Linked DNA regions of Drosophila melanogaster. The protein of the gene in region 2 purifies or fractionates together with the protein of the main gene of each other region. This does not show direct contact. Each region holds a gene or a part of one and is shown on either strand. Other genes may lie near its edges.

Evidence for each region.
Region 1: the proteins of Rpn2 (region 2) and Pomp purify together in Drosophila melanogaster (affinity purification with mass spectrometry, with the first as the bait; one large-scale study listed by BioGRID). This does not show direct contact.
Region 3: the proteins of Rpn2 (region 2) and Prosbeta4 purify together in Drosophila melanogaster (affinity purification with mass spectrometry, with the first as the bait; one large-scale study listed by BioGRID). This does not show direct contact.
Region 4: the proteins of Rpn2 (region 2) and CG11885 purify together in Drosophila melanogaster (affinity purification with mass spectrometry, with the first as the bait; one large-scale study listed by BioGRID). This does not show direct contact.

What each region holds. Positions count from the first base shown.
Region 1 is NT_033779.5:20,785,861-20,789,798, reverse strand, and holds Pomp (pomp), read right to left. Parts: upstream 2,144-3,938; 5' UTR 2,017-2,143; coding exon 2,014-2,016; intron 1,950-2,013; coding exon 1,684-1,949; intron 1,397-1,683; coding exon 1,261-1,396; 3' UTR 701-1,260; downstream 1-700. Other genes in the region: vari (varicose), read left to right, coding at 1-78, 139-213, 376-552.
Region 2 is NT_033777.3:29,151,465-29,157,879, forward strand, and holds Rpn2 (regulatory particle non-ATPase 2), read left to right. Parts: upstream 1-2,059; 5' UTR 2,060-2,144; exon of another isoform or gene 2,145-2,231; 5' UTR 2,232-2,266; coding exon 2,267-3,209; intron 3,210-3,271; coding exon 3,272-4,579; intron 4,580-4,837; coding exon 4,838-5,649; coding exon of another isoform or gene 5,650-5,676; 3' UTR 5,677-5,791; downstream 5,792-6,415. Other genes in the region: eIF2D (eukaryotic translation initiation factor 2D), read right to left, coding at 1-225; Slbp (Stem-loop binding protein), read right to left, coding at 784-1,458, 1,520-1,675. UniProt on the Drosophila melanogaster protein: Acts as a regulatory subunit of the 26S proteasome which is involved in the ATP-dependent degradation of ubiquitinated proteins.
Region 3 is NT_033779.5:16,730,570-16,733,883, forward strand, and holds Prosbeta4 (proteasome beta4 subunit), read right to left. Parts: upstream 1,565-3,314; 5' UTR 1,465-1,564; coding exon 1,374-1,464; intron 1,300-1,373; coding exon 1,074-1,299; intron 1,009-1,073; coding exon 720-1,008; 3' UTR 611-719; downstream 1-610. Other genes in the region: CG17996 (uncharacterized protein), read right to left, coding at 1-286, 340-391; Nubp1 (NUBP iron-sulfur cluster assembly factor 1), read left to right, coding at 2,063-2,998; glu (gluon), read right to left, coding at 3,228-3,314.
Region 4 is NT_033779.5:420,245-423,273, forward strand, and holds CG11885 (uncharacterized protein), read right to left. Parts: upstream 1,207-3,029; 5' UTR 1,123-1,206; coding exon 697-1,122; 3' UTR 651-696; downstream 1-650. Other genes in the region: RpLP1 (ribosomal protein LP1), read left to right, coding at 48-314; CG13692 (uncharacterized protein), read left to right, coding at 1,556-1,944, 1,999-2,191.

The DNA.
Region 1 (3,938 bases), on a different chromosome or scaffold from region 2:
GTGGCAGCGCCTGGCATGGAGCAGCTCAAGACCATCTATGCGGATCGCAGGGCCACGGGCTCCAACCGGAATTTATCTGTATGTTTCACGTAGCCCCCTAGACTAGGCACTCCTCTAATGCGAGCACATATTCCACAGTTTGATCGCCAGAGTTCCATAAGATTCAGCTCCAGACGCGCCCGTACGCTCGAGTCCCTAGCGTCGTTGTATGAGGTAATGTGCCCTGACCTATCCTTAATTACAGTGTCGTATAAATTGTGCTCAACTCAATCATCCGCTTGGCGCACCTAGGCCACCCTAGTAGCCCTGTTAGATCTCTGCCTGAATACCCAAACATTGCTTAACACATTCGCTTTCTATGACTTTTCCGAACAGGACGACGACCTTGTCGCCACCGTCGAGGAGAGCAGCTTCGTCCAGCGCAAGTATGAGAAATACTTCGACATGGTCATCGTGAACGAGGACTTCGATGAGACGTTCCGCCAGGTGGTGGAAACGCTGGATCAGATGAGCCACGAGGAGCAGTGGGTGCCTGTCAACTGGATCTACTAGAATCCCATGACCCTTTGCAATTGCGCCTTTATGCATATTGAAGAATATATACTATAAAAATCGAATGCCTATCATCACAATTAAAGGGATAATTCCAGTAATTGAAGCTTAAACTCGCAACACAATACAAATTTAGCGAAGAGCATTTAAAACGCTAGCGATTTCAATATTTATTGTTGATTAGACGTGTTTTGCTTGAGGAATGTAATGCGTTTTATTAACTATGTTTATCTCAATTACTGTCATTTTCCTCTTTAAATATAAATCATGTATATATGCAATGTTTGTATAAGTTGAAATGCGCCCTCCGTTTACAATTCAGTTTTCCTTAAGTATAAGCCTAATTTTACGAAACGAATTCGTCCATTTTACCATCTCTTGTTTTATTTTTACAAATAATGAATGATGTCAACGCATATCTCTTCAGTTTATTATTTTAACGAATCTCCTCAGTACAACAACCTTCTGCCAATATTTTCGTGTAGTTTTTAGATTTGTTTGAATAAAATGTGTAAGTTTAACGAACTAGTTAAATGTATTGATGTGGAGTTAAACAAACGAAATACGAATAAATTTGGCTCAAAGAAATGGTGAATTTTGTTTACCTCTAGCTGGTCGCACCAAAATATATTTTATTTGCTGATCTTAAGAGTGTCTTAGAGTTTAAAGGCTGAATGCCAGGCATTTAGCAACTTCATTTGCAGGGACTTATTGGTAAATTCCCAGAGATTTCTCCACCACAGCGTGGGGCTGACGCATATGCTCGCTGTTCTCGGGCAAGTTCATGAAGTCCTCGAAGCCAATGGAATCACAGCGGCCAGTCAGGACATCGTCCATGAAGTTGCTGCAATATAAAGGAAAGAATTAATATAGAAGATAAGTAGTCATTGCTGGGTTTTCGGTAATAATGGTACTATGGGAATCACAGGTATACTTGGTATACACGTATGTATGTATGTACGTATATAGGTATCCATTATTAGGCAAGAAGTTTAGATTTTCTAGATTGTAGGATATCTCAGGTTTCTCCGGGATTCTTATAATGTGGAAACAGAAGATTTCTGAATGCTTCCGCCCTTGCAGAGATTCCTGTCCAGACTGAGAAGCTCCCAGACCGGGCTAGATGCTCACCTGGACGAAAGGAAGGGCAGGCGGCCCACCTGACGTGCGGCGAAGCGCTCCATGCCCATCTTGAGGGGCACGCCGAGGCCCTCGTGGTTGCGCAGCATCTGCATGTTGCGGTTGTACTGGTGCTCGTTGTAGTTCAGCTCCGAGTCGCGCAGCCGGTGGACGTGGGCCAGTTGGTTCAGGCAGTTGGCCTCGGTGGGCATTCCCACACGGCCGGTGGCGTTCAGCACGGACACCTCGGCGGGCTGGACTTTCAGTGATGGCTGATACTGTATTGCGAGGGGTTTTCGTTTCGTTAGCGGCTCTACTAAATGCACTCGGCGAGGTACTTACCATATTCGTAAGCGCTTTTAGAATAAAAATGCGGCGAATTATAATTGTTTCTTGAATGACAAACAAATTCCGTGCGAATTAGAGCTGGTACTTGTGTCGATGCCTACTCGATATCGACGATAATTGACAAGATAATCGAATAGAAAGCAACTTATCGACTAGAATAGAATCCAGTAGTGTAGAAACCAGACTGGCAACTCTTTACATGTGTAGAAATCAGGATGGCAGCTCCAGACAATGCTAACATGGATTCAATCCATTTTGACCCACATAAATTTTAGCTCGGTTTCAAACCATTGCAGGGTACAAAAATGCGGCATGTCCGACAAGTGAATTTCGATTTGAAATTATGAACTCCAAATTTTCCAATCCAATTTGATTATTTAAACAAAATATTTCTATATATATAGCAACAACGCAGCACTATTTGAAATACACTTTAATTGTAATCGTGTTGATGGGTAAAAGTCGGTCTATGCAAATTGGCGTTATTAGCGCACTTAACACTTCGGTCAAGTGACGAACTTGAGTGTTGTGATTAATTACACCCTCGCTGGCCAGCAACGCACATCCGAAATATACAAACGTATCGATCTCGGCCGCAGCTCTAATCAATTCGATCAACAAAAGAACTGAATCCGCTGGCTGGCTGGCCGGGGTTTTGTTTTTCTTTTCACCCACACCTTTTAGCGGCTTTTATGATCTTCTGCTCCACAGAGACGCGATTCATTTGCATCGAGTGACAAACGCGAACGAATGCGAATGCGAGGAGACCAAATCACACGACAGGGCTTAATTAGTGCATGGTCACTAATAAAGATTCGGCCAGTGGATGTTGTGTTAATCAAACTCCCGCACACAATAGCCCAAACTGTCTCCGGCCAACCGATCCGATCCTATCCAATCTGAACTTGAAAATCCAAATGGAAACATCAACCGGATGGATGGATCTTCACCTTCACTTTAGACTAAAAGGTAGTACGTAAATTATGATTTATGCCCATTTACTGAATTTTACAGTGCGAAAAAAGCGAACTACATTCCTGCTTTGTAATTTACAACTTTAATCATTTTAATATTGGTATGGATGAGCATTGCAATACAAAGTCAAATAGTTTATAGCATGTATAGCTATAGTATTGATACAAAAACGTATTAGATAATTTAAAAGATCAGCCCTATTTTTAATGAATGAATTCTATATTAAGAAACTGACAAAATGATAAGTAAATTTAATCAGCAGACAATTCGAGAATTTACAATAAGAATATCGCAACGGGCATATTTATGGCGTCGAGTTGATAAAAATATCGTTAGTTTTTATTACTTTGAGATGCGATTCTTTCGGATGCAACTTATGGTGATTTAATCTATAAGTCTATAAATAAATTAAGTTAGAATAAACACAAATTACTCGCATCGATTTTAGCTTACTAGCATCGTTCCTTTGACTTATTTGTTAATACAATCATTTCAGTTCCCTGTGAATTTTGCCGCTTGAAGAGTTCAAAAGAACTCATACCACGATTGATTTATAACGTTTACTTTCTGTTTTACTGCCTTTGACCAATTAATACACAGTAGACCAGTACGAGGCGAATCAACCAATTCAGTCAGTCCAATATATGGCCATAAGGATGGCCAAGAGCCAACTATGTATGGTCGAATGGAGATGGAGATCTCAGGGCGAGAAGATCGATATGTAAAAGTCAAATAAAAATATAACGTCGAGAATTAACATTTTTTCACAGCAATAAATGCATAAAAGTCGAAGATGTGTATTCAAAAAAGAGAAGAGTCGTGGGTTCAACTAGGGGACTCTTCAGATGAGGGAATTCCTTTTAAAACAGCTTGATTGGGCTGATATTTCTCTTCTATTTTATACGCACTCAGAGAAATTAATGGGTAAAAGCAAGAGATTCCAA
Region 2 (6,415 bases):
ACCGCCGTCCAGCTCGAAGAACAAAGGCAACTTGTCCACGCAGTAGACCATGCTCTGAACACCGCCGTGCGTTAGGATCTTCACCTGGGTCACCGCCGCCTTCGCCGGCACCAGCTGATCCACGGACACATGGGGGAACGCCGCCTCCACGCGCTGCCGGAACTTCTTGCTATCGGATCCCTTGAGGGCAGCACTGCTCTTGGGTCTGTACGGCTTGAGAAACATCTGTGTTTGGTGGTGTGCACTTGAGGAGTTCGTGAAATGGTTTGGAGTGGCACATGCACAGTGAAAACAAACAACTGGCAAACGGGGGTGCTGCTTTAGCTATTTTCTCGCCAGTTTGTATATTTAAAAAAATATCAATGGGATTCGATATTCTAAAACCAAGTATAAGAAACATAAGAATAAGATGCAGAAAAAGAAATTAACATAAAATAAAGAAGTGAGTCCTGTCTTTTCTTTTCACAATAACTCTACCCTAAATCAAAATTAGTTAAGAGCAGACGTTATTACAAGGACAGCACGCGCAGTAAAAATGCCGGCGGTCCGGAAAATTTCGAATCACCAAGGACTTCCTCAGGTAGCAAACGACAGAAAACCCAGGATCTTGTAAGACGCCATTTTATTCAACAAAACATCTGCGTAACAATTCCCCGTACACGGCCTTGTGACTCGAAGATGCGTGTTTGATTCATAGTTTTAACTTTGTACTTGAAATAAAAATTAGTAGTTAAACCCCCGATATTTGAAAAACATAGCCCGGCCCGGTAACAAGATTCGATCCTAGTCAGAATCCGAGTCGGAATTACTGTCCTTGGCCGTGTCGCGCGCTTGTGTAGGTGGATCATAGATGTGGAGGCTTTTGCGCCAGATCTTCACGAGCCCATCGAAGGCGCGGCGGCTGTACTTTCCATACTTGTTCGGGGTGCGCGGATGATCGCGAGTCCGCTCGTCCTTTGGCACCATTTCCACATAGCGCTCGTAGGCGGCAGTATTCTTTCCGTAATCTATTTGCTTCTGCCTGCGACTTAGGATGGCGGGATCGGCTTCGGTGTAGGAGGATGACGATGAGGTGGAGGACGTGTAGCTGTTGTGGCGCACCCGTTTCTCCTCCTTGTGGGCGCGGAAGTTGCCAGACTTTTTTGAGTTCCTCGAATGGGGATTGTTGCCGCCTTTGGGCGCAGCTGCATCTCCGTTGGCCGAGGAGTTGCTGCTGTTTGGACTGTTGGAGCGACTGTTCTCGTTGCTGGGCGGCGTGAACGAGTGTCGGCGCTTGTAGGGCGTTTTTAGCTTCTCCTCCTTGACCAGGCGCTCGAACTTTACCTCGTTGACGCCATCCAGGAACTCAAATGCCATCTCCCGGCCCTCGCCATCTTTGGACTCCAGATTACCGTCGGCTGTCTCCTTTTTGGCCAAGGAACCGCAGCTGGCAGCGCTGCTATTCAAGGAACTGGAGGCCTGCACGTGCAAACAAGAGAATTAATTGTGTTCCCGATCGTAGCAGCCAACCTTCACTTACCTCGTCACTGTGGCCAAACTCCGCGCGGACCTCCTGGGCCCAGCTCTGCATGGTGGGCTTCACATCGATCGAAATGGAGGATGCTGAGGAATTCAGGCTGCCGGAGCCTTTCTGCGGTGTGTTCTCCACGGACATGTGCTGATCCTCGCAGAGCATGTTGTGCAATTATCTTTCGTTTGTTTACTGTGCTGTGTATGATGCGGTCCGCTGCTCCAGGATGTTGTCGCGGCGGTGTTTTGCGTTTTCTGCGCAAACCTTCGCGCGTTTTTTGTTGTAGATGCGATGCTCAGTGTGCCCAGAAGTGGAGGTGGTAAGAAGGCGGCAAAAAGGTACCACAACACAGAACAACCTGGTCACTCACAACTAATTTCAAACTATGCTCCAAATGTATTACATTTCATTTCAATTTTGTTAAAATTTGATGTCCAATACATATTTAAACATACAGAAAATTAACAGCGATTTTTAAATTGTCTGAGGGAGGCTCAAACAATATCGATGCATCGGTACACATCGATAGCAAGACATCGAGCAACCAACCATTACCAACACTGTCTGCTTACCGAGTGATTTAGCATTTTTTCGGCACAAAAGAAAACTGAAAATTAAAACGGTGCAATTGTTGGTTAGTACGCAAAAGAACGATTTGTTTTCATAGCAAACGTAAAGTTTTCGAGCCCAAGTTGAACATACGTCACTTTAAAATCCGTAGAACATATTTTTGACTGGAAACAACGCAGCTGGAAAATGAGTCTTACGTCCGCCGCGGGGATAATTTCCCTACTCGATGAGCCAATGCCGGATCTTAAGGTGTTCGCCCTCAAAAAGCTGGACAACATCGTGGATGAGTTCTGGCCGGAGATCTCGGAGTCCATCGAGAAGATCGAGATGCTGCACGAGGATCGCAGCTTCCCCGAAAACAAGCTAGCTGGCATGGTGGCCTCCAAGGTGTTCTATCACCTGGGCTCCTTCGAGGACGCTCTGACGTACGCCCTGGGCGCTGGTGATCTGTTCGACGTGAATGCCCGCAATGAGTACACGGAGACCATCATTGCCAAGTGCATCGACTTCTACATTGCCCAGCGGGTGGAGTTCATCGAGAACCCTAAGGAGGCGAGTGTCGTGGACGAGCGGCTGGAGGGCATTGTGAACAGGATGATTCAGCGCTGTCTGGACGACAACCAGTTCCGCCAGGCTCTGGGCATCGCTCTGGAGACCCGTCGCATGGACACCTTCAAGGACGCTATCATGAAGTCGGACGATGTGCGTGGCATGCTGGCCTACGCCTACAACGTGACCATGTCCCTCATCCAGAACCGTGGCTTCCGCAATGAGGTGCTGCGCTGTCTGGTCAGTCTGTACCGTGATCTGGGTGTGCCGGACTACGTGAATATGTGTCAGTGCCTCATCTTCCTGGAGGACCCCTTCGCCGTAGCCGAGATGCTGGACAACCTCACACGGTCCTCGGTGGAGACAAACAATCTGATGGCCTATCAGATTGCCTTTGATTTGTACGAGTCGGCCACGCAAGAGTTTCTGGGCAATGTGCTGCAGCACCTCAAAAACACCGCTCCTATCCCAACCGCCCTCCCCAGCACATTTAAGCCCCAGGGTACCACCTCCGAGGATGGTGCCAAGTCGGAGGGAGACAAGTCCAAGTCTGACGAGGATATCACAGAGGAGACGCCAGGTAAACCCGGTTTTCTAATCCAGTCCCTTAAAATACTTATAAATCGCATTTTATTCACCTAGCTGATGATAAAGTAGAGCGCACAATCGATTCCCTTAACGAGGTTGAAAAGTTGCATCAGAAGAACATTGAAAAGCTCATATCGATCCTCTCCGGCGAGGTTTCCATCGACCTACAGCTCCAATTCCTCATCCGCAGCAACCACGCCGATTTGCAGGTCCTTCGAGGCACAAAGGAAGCGGTCCGCGTGTCTATCTGCCACACAGCCACTGTTATTGCCAACGCCTTCATGCACAGCGGCACCACCTCCGACCAATTCCTGCGCGACAACCTCGACTGGCTGGCCAGGGCCACGAATTGGGCCAAGCTGACGGCAACCGCTTCGCTTGGAGTAATTCATCGGGGTCACGAGAAGGATTCCCTGGCTCTCATGCAGAGCTATCTGCCAAAGGAGGCCGGTCCAAGTTCTGGTTACTCTGAGGGTGGTGCCCTTTATGCTTTGGGCTTGATCCATGCGAATCACGGAGCTAACATTATAGACTACCTGCTGCAACAGCTGAAGGATGCCCAAAACGAGAATGTGCGTCATGGCGGCTGCCTGGGACTAGGTCTCGCTGGCATGGGCACCCATCGCCAGGATCTGTATGAGCAGCTGAAGTTTAATTTGTATCAGGATGACGCGGTTACCGGAGAGGCGGCGGGCATTGCCATGGGTATGGTCATGCTGGGCTCCAAGAACGCCCAGGCCATCGAGGACATGGTGTCGTATGCGCAGGAGACGCAGCACGAGAAGATCCTACGCGGCCTAGCCGTGGGCATCTCCCTCACAATGTTCTCTCGTTTGGAGGAGGCCGACCCCCTGGTGACCAGCCTGTCTTCCGACAAGGATCCTGTGTTGCGCCGCTCGGGAATGTACACCATAGCTATGGCCTACAATGGTACTGGTAGCAACAAGGCCATCCGCAAGCTGCTACACGTGGCCGTCTCCGACGTAAATGATGATGTGCGACGTGCTGCTGTGACAGCCATCGGCTTCATCCTGTTCCGCTCTCCGGAGCAGTGTCCCTCTGTGGTCAGCCTTCTGGCAGAGTCCTACAACCCGCACGTTCGTTACGGAGCCGCAATGGCTCTTGGTATCGCCTGTGCCGGCACAGGTTTGCGTGAGGCCATTGCCCTGCTGGAGCCAATGGTGAAGTTCGATCCGGTCAACTTTGTGCGCCAGGGAGCTTTGATCGCCTCTGCCATGATCCTGATTCAGCACACGGACCAGAGCTGTCCCAAGTCCACCTTCTTCCGTCAGCTGTACGCCGAGGTCATTAGCAACAAGCACGAAGATGTGATGGCGAAGTACGGTGCCATTTTGGCTCAGGGTAAGCAATATAACACGATCCCTTTTCGTTATTTATGCAATTATATTGAAAAGCTAATTAGTTTGTTAATTTGCATCTATTAAACATTGGTTTCCGTAGTTTTCCCGCCAAGCTTCGAGATAAGATTAGTAGATACTCAAAATTATAAATATTCCATTTTTAACTAAGCGAACGACTATAGGTATTTTTGTAGGAATTGATTTATAATTAGTAATCGTCCTTTCCAGATCTTTCTAATTAGGCATTGACTATTTCCAGGTATTATTGATGCTGGTGGCCGAAACGCTACTCTGTCCCTGCAGTCCCGTACAGGACACACCAACCTGCAGGCAGTGGTGGGCATGCTGGCTTTCACCCAGTACTGGTACTGGTTCCCCCTGGCCCACACCCTTTCCCTTGCCTTCACACCCACCTGTGTGATCGGCCTGAACTCCGATCTGAAAATGCCCAAGATGGAGTACAAGTCGGCGGCCAAGCCCTCGTTATACGCATATCCCGCCCCACTGGAGGAGAAGAAGAGCGAGGAGCGCGAGAAGGTGGCCACCGCAGTTCTGTCCATTGCCGCCCGCCAGAAGAGACGCGAGAATGCCGACAAAAAAGAGGATGAGAAGATGGATGTGGACGAGGACAGCAAGGAGGGTGCTGCTGTCAAGAAGGACGAAGAAGCCAAGGCCGATGAGAAGATGGTAACGGATGAGAAACCCAAGAAGAAGGATGAGAAGGAAAAGAAAAAGGAAGAGGATAAGGAAAAGGAGGCAGCTGGCACCAGCAGCGAAAAGGATAAGGATAAGGAGAAGGACAAGAAGGAGAAGAAGGAGCCAGAGCCGACCTCCGAAATCCTGCAGAATCCCGCCCGCGTTCTTCGCCAGCAACTGAAGGTCCTTAGCGTTATTGATGGCCAGTCGTATGAGCCGCTGAAGGATGTCACTATCGGTGGAATTATTGTATTCCAGCACACTGGCAAAGCAGAGGACCAGGAGCTCGTTGAGCCAGTTGCCGCATTTGGACCGATGAACGACGAGGAAAAGGAGCCGGAGCCCCCAGAGCCCTTTGAGTACATCGAGGACTAAATGGGCATGCTGTTTGTCATTATCTAAGTGAATCCTGTTCGATTTTCAACCTTGCTTACGTTTCATGAGAACAACTAATCGGCAAGAACACGAAATGCTAATCCCTAATTATAACACAATAAATGGTCATCATATTAGATGTAAATAATGTCTACTTTGGTTTATGGTGGTAGTCGCCAACCTATTTTTTATCTCCTTAGAACTCGATCAAGAAGATTGTTTCGCCACCCGCCGAAAGATCCGCCTCTCAAACATAAATAAGTGATTTCACAACGCTCGGCAATTGCCCACAGTCTCTCTGAATTTGTAGAAGCGCTCTCTACCATGGCCGTTTTTTAAAGGGGATTGGTGCACCGTGGCCTCAAGGTAAACTTATGTTTGGATTTTAAGATGGTTAATTGCAATCGAATCGGGTTGGTATTCAATTATTATAAATATAAGCATATGATCGTATATGCAGTTAAAAAATGATCTTTGGAAATCATATGTTTTTAAGCTAAATGCCCATGTGCGTTGCCAAGGGAACTTGATATTTGCAAACAATTATTCAACAAGTAAATGATCAATATGTTTATAACTTTTATGGCTGGTTCCAACCACTTTCGTTGCAAAGAAGGGACAAATACAAACACTATATAAATCACTGTTATTATCCGTGGACAAGCACTGAAAAGCAAGTGCACTTCAACGGTGCGTCGGCCTAGAGATACCGTGTTGAAATCAGTGCTTCACTATTTGCCCTCCTACTGCTTATGAAGATGCAGAT
Region 3 (3,314 bases), on a different chromosome or scaffold from region 2:
TGCTTCTTGGGTATGCCAGTGCTGCGATAGTCGGCGCGCTCCTGCAGATATATCTGCTTGCACTCCTCCTTGAAGGCTTCGTTCTGATACCACTGGGTGAGGCATTCCTTCAGGGCTGAGTTCTGTTTCCGACAGGTGGCCACCATCAGTATACTGCTGGCCTTGCAGCACTCCTGGAAGTCGGCCACCTCCTTTGAGCAGAACTCCGTCTTGGCACGATCGCGCATTATCTTGGGTATCAGCACTTCGCGCTCCACCTTGCGCAACCTAGTATCATTTGGATCGCCTAGCAAGGGCAGTGTCAGTTGGTGGTCATATTCGATTATTCTGAGGACTCACCCAGTCCATGGGGATTGTGGGGATCCACGGCTGGCTGTTGTTCAAGGCTCATATTGTGTTAAAAATACTATTTATTTTGTATAACAACTTTTAGAGTGACTGCCACCGGTGCGATGAAAAATACTAGGGATATAAAAATACCACGAGTATACTAAAATTAGATTCATTTTTAAGATATAAAATATAATTTTATAATTCGATTTCTTGAATATTGAAATTACTTAATGATCGTCTAGAACACAAAATTTGCCCGACTGATCGCTAATTCAATAATATATTTTTTTTTAAACCGATAAACCACCTTCGTGTATTAAATTAGCCAAGAATCCAGACGCATTTTATTACAAAACTGCATTTTAAATGCTTAAATCAAAACCTAACTAAGCGGCCAGGCTAGCAGCGCTGATTGGCTCCAAATCTCGCACACCATCCTTGTCCACGACGGCGACGGTGAAGTTCTTGAGGTTGACGACCAGGCGCTTCTGGATTTCGGCAATGCACTTCTTGAAGACGTCGTAGGCCTCCGCCTGGGTTATATTGGGGTGCCAGTATCGGTCATAGATGCTGGATGCGAAGATCGCACCATAGCCATGACCGGCGTAATTCACAGGCAGTGCATTGGCCAAATAGTCAATGAAGGTGAGCTCCGGACCCGCGTTGGGATCGTAGCTTTGGGGAGAAGAAACAGATTAGGCACGGAAAGCAAATGGATTGACTGATCTCATGATCCTTACCCGGCCACAAACATGAACACTTGGTAGGGCGTGCGACTGCGAAGATATTCGGCCAGATTCTTGCGAGTAAAATGAGCCGATTCACGTGGACTTAAATCGTAGCCATTGCGCATCTTGTACAACGCTATGTTCTTCGAAATGAATTCGGTAAATTGCTCCGTGTCGCCCGATTCGCCGACGGTTGAAATAAGCAGACTATCCGACACCTTGTGGATTTTGTTCTGATCTGCAATGGAAATTCAAGGAGACTAACGAAATGAGTCCCAAGCCGCCAAGAAAATGAGCACCATTTGGGCTTACCCTCTTTCATCACTATAATGGATCGGGCGTGGGTGGTGTCCGCCGCCAGCATCACGAAGTCAGGGCCCTTGATACCCAGTAGAGTCTCCATGTTGCAATTATATTTATACTTTCGGGGTTTTTTAACGAAAATTACAAGTTGTTTGTGAGTTGCCGAATGCGATGACAAGCAAGTTAAATGCAGAGTGGCCGTATGCTGGGCGGCTAAAAATACCGCTATTCTGAAAAGATACTAATAAATATAAGCTAACACATATTTATAATTTTATTTTATATTTATTATTTATCATTTTAAATTAACTTAATTATACTTAATTTTCAATTATACCTAATTGGTATGATATTCAAATCTTATAAGTTTACTTGCTTACTAAAATTAAAATTAAAATTATTTCAATGTTTCAACTTTGTCTAAATAAAAAAAAACTTTATTTTTAATAAACCCATTTTTGTTTCCTTTAATATGAATATGAATATTTACATATACATAAAAATTATGTTATATAAATTATAATTATAAATTAAATTATTAATAAAATTGAATATCTTAGTTATATATTATTTTTAATTTTAATCGCAGTTAATCAACACTTGTTGAGTGCCCGGTTATAACTTGGCCACACTGTTCCCTTGTTATCATTTCATTTCACAATTAGTTTACGGAATTCGAACTATTGAAACTAAGAGCCATGCAGGCACCACCTCCGGAACACTGTCCTGGCGTCGAGAGCGAGGAGGCGGGCAAGGGAAGTGCCTGTTCGGGCTGCCCCAACCAAGGACTCTGCAGCGATCCCAACAAGAAACTCGAAGATCCCGGCAAGGCTTTGGTGGTCGAATCCATGAAAGATGTCAAACACAAGCTGCTGATCCTGTCCGGGAAAGGCGGCGTTGGCAAGAGCACGGTAACCAGCTTGCTAACCCGCTATCTGGCCAGAAGTAATCCGGACAGTAACTTCGGCGTGCTTGATATCGACATTTGCGGTCCATCGCAACCGCGTTTGATGGGCGCCCTGGGGGAGAGTGTCCACCAGTCTGGGTACGGCTGGTCACCTGTGGGAATCGAAGACAACGTGTGTCTGATGTCCATCGGATTTCTTCTGGGCTCTGTGGACGATGCCATTATTTGGCGAGGACCCAAGAAGAATGGCATGATCAGGCAGTTTCTGAGCGAGGTGGACTGGGGAAATCTGGATCTCCTGCTACTGGACACACCACCTGGAACTTCCGATGAGCACCTGTCTGTGGTTTCGTACCTGAAAGACGACGCCAACCCGGAGTCCCTGCGCGCCGTGATGGTGACCACTCCACAGGAGGTGTCTCTGCTGGACGTGCGCAAGGAGATCAACTTTTGTAAAAAGCAAAATATCCCCATTGTGGGCGTGATCGAGAATATGAGCAGTTTCCGTTGCGGCCATTGTGGAAATAGCTCCGAAATCTTTCCAGCCAAAACCGGAGGAGCCGCTGCCATGTGCGCCGAAATGGGAATCCCGCTGTTGGGCTCCCTGCCTCTGGATCAACAGATATCCAAAGCCTGCGATTCTGGCGAGGATTTAACTGAGTTTAAGAATGTCACCACTGAGGCGCTGGAAGGAATTTGCTCAAAGATTATGGCCAGCTTTAGTTAAGAATAAGTTAAAGACCACTCAGTTTTTAAATAAAAAAAAAGATGCCTGTACAATTTTATGTAACATTTATTATTAAGCATTGAAAGGATAATACCAATTGGAAATACCGATTCACCTGAGGTCATCAAATTACGTCTCGGTCTTTACCAGAAATTAGATTACCAGGCAGTTTACAACATGCCCCTTTACAGGATAAGAAAACATTCTACAATATTGAAGTAGGTTGGAGTTAAACATTAAGTATGGCTGGGGAAGATGGCGGGCTTGCTAGGGACACATCCGTGGTTACTCTTCCCGTGGCATCTGACGGTTGAGC
Region 4 (3,029 bases), on a different chromosome or scaffold from region 2:
TTCGCACTGCTGCAACTTGTGCTGATCTTATTTTTTGGATTCACCAGGGTGAGAAGATCAACACCATCCTGAAGGCCGCCAACGTCGAGGTGGAGCCCTACTGGCCCGGTCTCTTCGCCAAGGCCCTGGAGGGCATCAACGTCAAGGACCTGATCACCAACATCGGATCCGGAGTTGGTGCCGCTCCCGCCGGTGGTGCTGCCCCTGCTGCCGCCGCCGCTGCTCCAGCCGCCGAGTCCAAGAAGGAGGAGAAGAAGAAGGAGGAGGAGTCCGACCAGTCTGACGACGACATGGGCTTCGGTCTGTTCGACTAAATCCTCTAGAGAACTTCTCGACAACCGGACATCCGTTGTGTTTGTGCTGTAATCCTCGAGAGGTGGACGTGTACCCGTTTCCCGACCTGCGTACACGTTTTTAATGTACAAATGTGAGGAAATATAGAAGACGTTTGCTAAAAAATTATCGAGACTCATTCCTTTCACAACGGTGCAGAATTATTATGGTTTACTATGTTATTGGTCATTCCACTGCCTTTTTGTGAGTAGATTCTATTTTGGGTTTTTAAGCACATGAAAGAGGTTGCAGTAGAATGGCCAATAATTTGGTCAGCCGGGTTGAAGGCTACGATTAAAATGTTCAAGGTTTTTTTTACAAAAACTGTCACAGCTAATATTTATTGGATATAACGAACGCAGACTAGAATAACGTCTCCTCGAGGACCTTAGCTAGGGCACGAAGATTGGGTCCGTCGATTTTCTTGAGACCCAAGCCCACCACGAACTCCGTCGGGCACTTGTGGAGTCCGGTTCTGTTGACCAGAAACTGTATGGCGCTGCGAGTCTCGTCGGTGTCCAAGCCCAAGCAGCAGTTCATCGTGATTGGCACCGATACGTGGAACTCCGGATTGTCCACGGGTCCGTGCAAATAGGGAACCACTCTTTCGTCCTTTTTGACATCGAAGTGCACGTTGTAGATGCCGGGAATCTTGCCGAGCTGCGTTATGACTAAGAACCACTTCTTGGCAAAGCAGTGGAACACTATCTCCGTGGGAACGCCGTTCACGTCCGCTGAGAACTGCCTGTCGAATCCGATTTGTCGAGGTTTGTTTGCTGTGTGGTTCATTTTTTGAGAGAATTTAAAAGCGTTTAACAATGTTGATATTGTTTACGATGAGACAGCATGAAAAAACGATGAAAAATACATCGATGTTTTATCGATAGTCATTATGCATTGATGTGCTAATATGAAGTGTGGCCGAATGGTTCCGAGTTTCGTGACTCCCGAAGCACGCAGTTCAAACGTTTGCACTGATTTCCTGAGAGCGCCATCATGCAGAAAATAATTGAACTACTGACACAAGATTTCGATTACGCGATTGATATTAAATGTTCAACCATTTGTAAATATTTTATATATAAAATAAGCCAGAAATAACAACATGTACGTGCTTACTGAACTAACTTTTACAATTTTAATTTAATTAATTAATTAATAAACTTTGGTAACCAAGGCTACCTTTGTTAGATCCATAAATAAAATCCAAGTAAAAGCAAAAATGTCCACCTGCATTTGCTTGGGCCCCAAAAGAGCGGGCAAAACGCACCTTTTGAAAGCTTTACAGGATCCGGAATCCATCGATGAGACCACGTTTTCCATGCCCACCATTGGCACTGGGATTTACCGAATCCATTTCCCAACAAAATCGCCAAATGGGGATAAAAATAAGCCTCCTCCCTCAGAAGCTCCAGCTAACATTCCTCATGGCGGTAAAAATCTGCCCAAGTCCATACAGATCCTGGAAATTGGAGGGAGTATGGCCCCCTTGTGGAGGCAGTATTTCGAGGATGTCAAGAAGCTGATCTACGTCGTGGACACCTCTAATCTCTGTCAGATTTCAGCCGCCGGCGTTCTTTTCTATTCAATCCTCACCGAGCCGCGTCTGCAGTAAGTAAGGTGGAAATGAACTGAAAGCTCATGCACTAGTTAAATTCGTCGCAGGCATAATACTAAGATCCTGTTGGTACTGGCCAAAATGGATTACTCCTACCGCCAGATGCGAAACGAGGCTCTGCTCATGCTGCAGATGCAGAAGTTGCAAAAACAGATCCGCCAGCAGGTGACCATCGTGGAGGCCAGCGCCGTCACCAAAGTGGGCTTAGACCCCATCTACGATTGGCTGCAGAGACCCTAAATAATAAAATATCATAGAAATTAGTGTGTCACTCACATTAATGATACACCAGTGAAAATATTAAACTCTATTCCGATGCATTTTTATGTGGCTTTAGTTAATAAAATTAAACGTGAACACTGCCTAATCTATCAGATAGAAGTTAATATCTAGATTAAGACCTAAACTTCCCAAAAAGCAGAAAGCAGAGGAGATGCAGATGCATCCCGGAAGACAAACCAAGAAACAAGTTGGTTATATTAAGCTCAAATTAACATTAAAAATTTAGGTAGATTTACAGAGAGGTATAGTCAGGGTGTCCCAACAGGGTGACTCCCCAGGGACCGGAACAGGCGCACTGCAAAGTAATTAATGTTTTGGCCGACCAGGTATCCATGGTAATCGCCTCGTACCCCGAACCTAACCAATTCAAACTATACCGGAAGACCCTTTCCATATGGCGAGTATACACCTATACCTGCTAGAGGCCAGTCAGTCGATACCAGCAACCGCAGCAGCGGAGGAATCTACAAATTAGGTCCCGTGCAAAAGAGGTAGGCGGGAAGTACAAATTATGGGCATAGAAAAATTAGATGGCATGGAGACGAGCCAAGAACTAAGACCAGATTCGAACCCAGAGGAGTCCAGAGGAGCGGAGGAGGGAGATGAACCGCAGGAAGCAGCAGCCGCATTCCTGATGCCCCTGGATTTTCGGGCTTGGAGGGGCAGAGGAATGACACGCATCCGGTTTTAAAATTCCAGTGATCGAAGCGCAGCAGAAGAGCCCGAAAAAAGGAACTCAGCCGAGGAATTCAAACACTTGAATCGGACACAGATACACAATATACTGAACGAAAAG